2 linked regions of the Arabidopsis thaliana genome follow. The protein of the gene in region 2 purifies or fractionates together with the protein of the main gene of each other region. This does not show direct contact. Each region holds a gene or a part of one and is shown on either strand. Other genes may lie near its edges.

The links. Proteins that work in one complex are often made in the same cells at the same time.
Region 1: the proteins of CAK1AT (region 2) and AT3G16270 purify together in Arabidopsis thaliana (affinity purification with mass spectrometry, with the first as the bait; one study listed by BioGRID). This does not show direct contact.

The regions. Positions count from the first base shown.
Region 1 is NC_003074.8:5,511,659-5,515,412, reverse strand, and holds the start of AT3G16270 (ENTH/VHS family protein), read right to left. Parts: upstream 2,141-3,754; 5' UTR 2,042-2,140; exon of another isoform or gene 1,913-2,041; 5' UTR 1,713-1,912; coding exon 1,506-1,712; intron 1,223-1,505; coding exon 485-1,222; intron 313-484; coding exon 157-312; intron 67-156; coding exon 1-66. Other genes in the region: TRZ4 (tRNAse Z4), read right to left, coding at 2,295-2,642, 2,724-3,716. UniProt on the Arabidopsis thaliana protein: Mediates clathrin-dependent trafficking of vacuolar cargo from the trans-Golgi network (TGN). Promotes plant growth.
Region 2 is NC_003075.7:14,286,395-14,290,148, forward strand, and holds the start of CAK1AT (CDK-activating kinase 1AT), read left to right. Parts: upstream 1-2,002; 5' UTR 2,003-2,076; coding exon 2,077-2,577; intron 2,578-2,769; coding exon 2,770-3,708; 3' UTR 3,709-3,722; exon of another isoform or gene 3,723-3,754. UniProt on the Arabidopsis thaliana protein: CDK-activating kinase that modulates CDKD-2 and CDKD-3 activities by phosphorylation of the T-loop. Activates CDKD-2 C-terminal domain (CTD) kinase activity. Activates CDKA-1 probably by phosphorylation.

The DNA.
Region 1 (3,754 bases), on a different chromosome or scaffold from region 2:
CTTCACAGTATTATCAGAGCTGCTCATCAACCCACTTGACTGTCCACCATTTAGAAGGCTCAGAACCTACACAACATCGGTATCTCGAGTTAACCAACAAATTAGCATAATGCCAAAAAAGAGTTTTGTGAATGGTTATAACAAGCAGAAGCTTACCTTGTTCGCCTTTTCTCGAAGGGAAGATTGTGGAGACTCTGCGCACCGCTGTATGGCATCCAAGTTTTCACTAAAATAGGTATGTACAATTGAAAAATTCTCATCTTCCTTCTTCCTCAAAATGGCCTCAAGGACACATAAAGCTTTCATCCGAACCTGCCAAACAGAAAAACACAGTTACTTTCAAAGTACAAAAGTGGGAAGATTAACGCTACAGAAGAAACAAGCCAGGGAAAAGAAAATACAGATGATATAATCAAGAAAAAAGTACATTAGTAGCATCAAACAGTTTCACAAGGAGGTGACTAGGAAATAATCATAAACATACCTGCCACATTGGAGAATGGAGCTTCCCGTCAAGAGCAATGCTTAAAGCAACAGCGTCCATTTTTGCAGCCTCTAAAATGAAAACATGAAGAGCATCACGAGTTGGCTGCAGGCGTACACCACCAGATGTAACAATGGTTTCCAGCAGCTTTTCCTCACGAGTTTTGCTCTCAACACGAACTGAAGCAGAACTTTCACTTGCTTCTCCGGAAGCGTGGCCCCAAGATCCACCAGTCGTGTTCTTAGACGTTCCGTAGTTACCATCCTTCCCCAGCTTAACTGGATCATATCTACTGAAGTTCTCATTTTCCATAGTTAATGATCTGTGGAGATTTGGACCTCTGTAGCTGCTGCTGCCATTCTCATTCTTCTTTGGCAAATGGCCTTGAGCAAAATTACTGATTCCTTGCTTTATAGATGCACTTCCAATACCCACCACCTCACTAAGGAACGATTTATTATCATTAGAGGGCACCTGAAAGTTAGTATTCCCGAATCCTTCAATGCGTCTGTTGATGCTTTCAGGAGCAGCTGGTTTAGTACCATTCTCTTCTGAGAATATAGCAGAAATTGTTTCATGAGCAGTTTCCCGTACAGCCTTATTAAGTGCATCTCCTTTTAAAGGATCTGGATGCCCCTTGTAATGGAATAGATTGCGCACTGCAACCGAATTCCTTTGCATTTCTCGTCTAAACTCTGAGCCAGACTTTCCCACAGCATACTTTATCAACCTAAGAGCCTGTATATACATATAATAACCAAAATCAGTATAACCAGTTCCTACAGAGCTTTTAGCCACAATAAGATCCATTCTACGTCTCCCTATAAACAAACTCTACGCTATAATCAAACACATAAAGCTTTCTCTTTGATCCATTCTAAGAAAAAACAAACATCTACCTACAATCTAAATCAATCCCGACATGCAAACATTTCAATCAAAATCTTCATGGAAAACAAATGTCTCACAAAGGAACAACATTTCACAATCAAAAACAGAAAACAAACGTAATTGAAAATACCTTCTGCTTAACAATGGGGCTTTTGTTATCAAGACGTTTCAAAATGAATTCAGAAAACTCCTTGACGATGCTGACATGAGAAGAACGAAGGAGGTCACAGATCTCTTCCAATTTGTACACAGGCGCAACTTTGTCCTCATCAGACGTAACCGCATCTATCATCCGCGACCTCCAATACGATTCCACAGCTCTCCTGCTCGTATCCATGGCGAATTCGAAACAAAACAACCCTAATTCCCAAAATCACAACTTTTTCGTCCTCACCAGTCAAAAAAGCTTCAAAGACAACAACTTTATGAAAGACCGATCCTCAAAACAATTAGATCAGTCAAAAAACCGATCCTTTAAGCTCCAATTCCAGCTCAAATTCACCAAACTAAAGATCACGATCGGGATCCAAATTTCCCCTATAAACCAATCAACGCGGAGGTAAAATTAGACCCTTGAGACAACACAATCATGCGTCAAGCGGAATCGAATCAATAACCTCGGAGAAATCAGCAGAGAACGGAGAAATTGAGAAGAAAAAAACTCACCGATTCGTATGTGACAGAGAAAGAAGGAAGCGGTCAATAAAGAGGAATGGTTGTGTGTTCTTCGGTGTCTTTCCTTATTTCCCAAAGTTCCGATTTTTTTTAATTTCTTTTTCACAATTCACATTATGCACATGAAACTGATTTATTTCCTCTGTCACACTCACAGGAAAAATCAATTAAATTGATATTATTTCTAAAGACAATACAACACAGTCAAAAACAGGGGACAAAACAGAACATTCTAATCTATATACTAATTGATGAAAAAGCTTGGGACTTTGTCACGTATTAAGCTATCATCATCAGTCTCTTCTTCTTCTTCTTCTTCTTCAACCACTTGGTTTCTGAATAGAGTTTTGAAGTAAGGTAAAATCTTTGGAAGCACATGTAAATCCGCCATGTTTATACTCATCATATCAAAGGCAATGCATGTATTGTGCATATGTGATTCGTCAATCACCGGGATCTTTGGGTATCTCTGGCTAAAATGTGTCAGTACGGTTCGGTATACACCTGCTGAAGATCCAACTTTGATTGCTTCTTTAGTTGTGCTATGGTTTTTAGCCACAGCTTCTTCTACCAACGCATCCTCAAACGTCGCCTGTTATAAGTTTGAAAAGATGGTAAATTTTAAGAATGAGATGTAAATGTTTTACACAGTTTTGCTTATATAGAAAAGCACCTCATGTATAAGAACTGTTGCTCCTTTTGAAGCTTCAACCATCTCAGGACAAGGCCTTGTGTCTCCCGAGTAAACCATTTTCCACCCCGGAATCTCATCTCCGGCAATGTTTTTTCTTTCTGCTGCTTTTAACGAAACCCCAAAGGCTTGAGGGCAATGCACAACAGGAAAGCTAATCAAATGCTCCAACCCCATTTCGCCGAGGACTTTTTTCAGTTTCTTCAAGAATGGTAAAGCTGAAGAATTGTCTGTCAGTGGGCTGCTCGGTCTTTTATATATACTCTGCATTAGACTTCCTTTACTGAACAAAGAACCCTCTGCATTGCCGCTACTGGTATTTTTCTCAGGGCGGCTGGTTTCTACAGAAGCCCAAGATGTTGTTGTGGTGTTCCTGCAGTCGAGAAACTCCATATCTAAATCCTCAAGTCTTTGATATGCATCGAGAAAGTTCTTAAGCGATCTCGGTCCAACCACAATTGCTGGCTCATGAGCCAATCCTTTCAAAAGCTCACGTCTGCGAGCAAGGATTCTTGCAAGACCCGTATGGTGATCAGCATGGATGTGAGAGATCCATATACATCTCAAGTTTCTGACTGCTTCATCAGCTCCTTCTAAACCATATCTTCGTTTAAGCTGGCCTAAGGTACCTTCCCCACAATCCAAGAGAATACTGCCTCTAGAGAATAGGTCGATGTAAATTGCCGTGACATTTCGGTATTTTGAGGGTTGGGAGGAACCAGTGCCCAAAAGAACTATCTCCATGTCGTCTCTTCTAATGTTTTCAAGACAGCTTGGAACAGTGCTTTCACCCAGCCATGGCTCTTCGATCATCATCTTGTTGTGTTGTCCATTCCATAACTGCTTGATTTCTTCGGTCTTACTGCTGATTTCAGGAATTTCTGAAAGAAGCTCATCCATCACTCGTAAAGCTGTTAATCGACTAGGGATACTAGATCTGTCTACCCCAAGATTACCATGTGGACGCAAAGTGAACTGCCCACAATATATCAATGAGAGAAAGCGAGAGACTT
Region 2 (3,754 bases):
GCGCCTAATGCAATGAAGAGGTACTTGAACTTTTTCTCTCCTTCCAACTCCACATAAGTTACTGTCCCTGGATTTACCTTCTCTAACATGTAAAGATAAGAAAATAACATCGTGTAGCTTCTTTCCGGAGTCCCTCGCACATCACTAACATGTAGCATTTTGCCTCTTAAGGCAGTGGAGTATGAACAATGCACCCCAAGTCTTCCTCTTACAATCGACATAATGTTTTTTGGAGTTGGGGTCTCTAAATTTCCGGGATAATCACAATGTAAAACCGATGCTATTAATCTTGGTGTGCCTCGCTGTATACTGTTGCTTGTAGTCTCAACACTCCGAGAGCATGTATGCATCTTTCTATGCACTCTAACACTCCAAAAATGAGATTTTTTAGTTCTCGCAACTCTTAGATACCAAGTACACCCTTTAGAAGCTTGGCGGCATCGTAGCATAAGTCTCAACGGGTCTGACTTAATAGTATAGACTCCAAAAACTTCTTTCTTTGCAGCTCTGTTAACCAATTCCCACACAGCCTCCCTTGAACAAAATTCTTGACCAATTTCAATACCCGTACCATCATCCCATTCTATAACCTGCGGAGTAACTTCTACACTTCGTGGAATATCGTGAATATCATCATAATCAATCCTATCATCCTCATCTTGTTCCTCAACAGAATTCACCGGCCTTTCCATCGGCCTTTCGATAGCCACGATCTCCGTACCTACTACATTCTCACAATCATTCACATCATTATCATATCCATCATGCACCATCTCACATACTTCATTTAAAACATCATCCTCTATTACATTTACACCAACTGAACTTCGACGCTCCGGTACAGAAATTTCCTCTCTCCTCTCAACTCCTATACCATTTAATTCCTCCACATGCAAAACAGGAATCCGACTCTCTTCATCAGATTCTGTTAAAAATATGAAGACATCCTCATCATTTACAATATATGTCTCTCTCCTAACTTTAGACAGATTGTAACTCAGTTTCAACTTGACAGAAGCTTCATCAATCGCAACCTTCTTCATGATCTTGTCAACTAACATCGAATAGCTAATCTTCTCCAAACTACTCGTCTTAAACGATATAACATATAGTGAATTTTTACCAATCCACTCATTCACTTCAGAATAGTATCCTCCAAAGTCAAAATGTACCTTAGTGTGGATCTTCTTCTTCATCGCTCCTGAAAATACAACCAGTTCAACTCCAATCAAACATTTTAATAGTTATACCACATGTACTCTTATCATACGTTGAAATCAATCTCTCGTCGCACTCGTCTCTACTGAACCTAATTCGTTACCTTTCAATTGATTTCCAATGTTAATACATACCTATTCGTTAAACTAATTGGTTAATCTAAACTTTGCAAACACAAACCCCCCAAATCTTTAATATGAAATCTCGGAATTCAAATTCAACTCACATTCAACCTACATTCCTTTGCTCATCACCTCAAATAACGTTTCGGCAACCTCTAATCGATTACTCTTTACTTTGCAAACCAATCATCAAACTATCAAATTGAATCGAGCTGGGAATTATATAGAATTCAAAATCCCAATCTAAAATCACAATGCACCAATGTCAAAGGAAATATGAGAAGAAACTGACCTAATTCGTGGCTTTTACGCCGGATTTCAAGTCGGCGGCATGAGGAAATCGATGGTGGCCGACGAAGAAGATGAACGTCGACCAAAGAAGAAGAACACGACGACGAAGAGGAGAATCTCCGAACTCGATTTTCTTTATTTAGCTTTTGAATTTCTTTTTCATTTTTTTAATCAACTCATTAAGGGTACAACTGGTATATCACATTTTCGGTGGCATTCAGATTAACTTATGGCAGTCCAGATCAGTTTTTTCAAAAAAGTGGCATAAGTGATAAAAGTCCCCCCCTGCGGTTTGGTTTCTTGTCCGCTCCAAAACTTGTGAGGGCATTTTAGTCATTACAACATGGGAACTGGATTTTTAAACTGGTGAATTCGTTAGCGTTTATGTGAATAATCATCCATCATCAGGAAAGATCCGAAGAAAAGCGACGCCGTTTTAAAGGAGATGGATAAACAACCGGCGACCAGTTGGAGTATCCATACCCGGCCGGAGATAATCGCCAAGTACGAGATCTTCGAGCGAGTCGGATCCGGAGCTTACGCCGACGTTTACAGAGCTCGCCGTCTCTCCGACGGTCTAATCGTCGCGCTCAAGGAGATTTTCGATTACCAATCTGCGTTCCGGGAGATTGACGCGCTCACCATCCTCAATGGATCTCCTAATGTAGTTGTTATGCACGAATACTTCTGGCGTGAGGAAGAGAACGCTGTGCTTGTGCTTGAGTTTCTTAGGTCGGATCTCGCTGCGGTGATCCGAGATGGTAAGAGGAAGAAGAAGGTAGAAGGAGGGGATGGATTCTCGGTTGGGGAGATTAAGAGATGGATGATTCAGATTTTAACCGGTGTTGATGCTTGTCATCGGAATTTGATTGTACATAGAGATTTGAAGCCTGGGAATATGTTGATTTCTGATGATGGAGTTCTTAAGCTTGCTGATTTTGGTCAGGTGAGATTATGATTGTTACTGATTGTGTTAGTTATTTCATTGTTTGATGCACAAATATGAGAAACCTCTGAATGAAAAATGCTTGGTTTGCTTGAAATTTGGAAGAGTTAGTGTAATCAAGTGGCTAGACCTTATCATTTAGTGTAATCTATGAGTTTCTAAATGTGTGTTGGCTTCTTGGTTCATATACAGGCTAGGATACTCATGGAGCATGATATTGTAGCTTCAGATGAAAACCAACAAGCTTACAAACTGGAAGACAAAGATGGAGAAACCAGCGAACCACCAGAAGTTATTCCTGATTATGAGAACTCACCTAGGCAAGGGTCTGATGGTCAGGAACGGGAAGCGATGAGTAAAGACGAGTACTTCCGACAGGTGGAAGAGCTCAAGGCTAAACAGGTTGTTAGAGATGATACTGATAAGGACTCGAATGTGCATGATGGAGACATATCTTGCCTTGCAACGTGCACTGTTAGTGAAATGGATGATGATCTCGGTAGGAACTCGTTTTCTTACGATGCTGACGAAGCAGTGGATGATACACAGGGTTTGATGACATCTTGTGTGGGAACCCGATGGTTTAGGCCACCAGAACTGCTCTATGGATCTACGATGTATGGGTTAGAGGTCGATCTATGGTCGCTTGGTTGTGTGTTTGCAGAACTCTTGTCTCTTGAGCCTTTGTTCCCAGGAATTTCAGATATTGATCAGATCAGCAGAGTGACCAATGTGCTGGGAAATTTAAATGAAGAGGTCTGGCCTGGTTGTGTTGATCTTCCAGACTACAAGTCAATCTCATTTGCTAAAGTAGAATCTCCTCTTGGTATTGAAGGATGCCTTCCCAACCATTCAGGGGATGTGATATCGCTGCTCAAGAAGCTTATCTGTTATGATCCAGCTAGTAGAGCTACTACTATGGAGATGCTGAATGACAAATATTTAAGTGAAGAGCCTCTTCCAGTTCCAGTTTCAGAGCTCTATGTGCCTCCGACAATGAGTGGACCAGATGAGGATTCTCCGAGAAAGTGGAATGATTACAGAGAAATGGATTCAGATTCAGATTTTGATGGCTTTGGACCCATGAATGTAAAGCCTACCAGTAGTGGATTTACAATAGAATTCCCCTGACCTTGGCATTTAAGGTACGCAGTCAAAAGCTCTGGCTCGCTTAAAC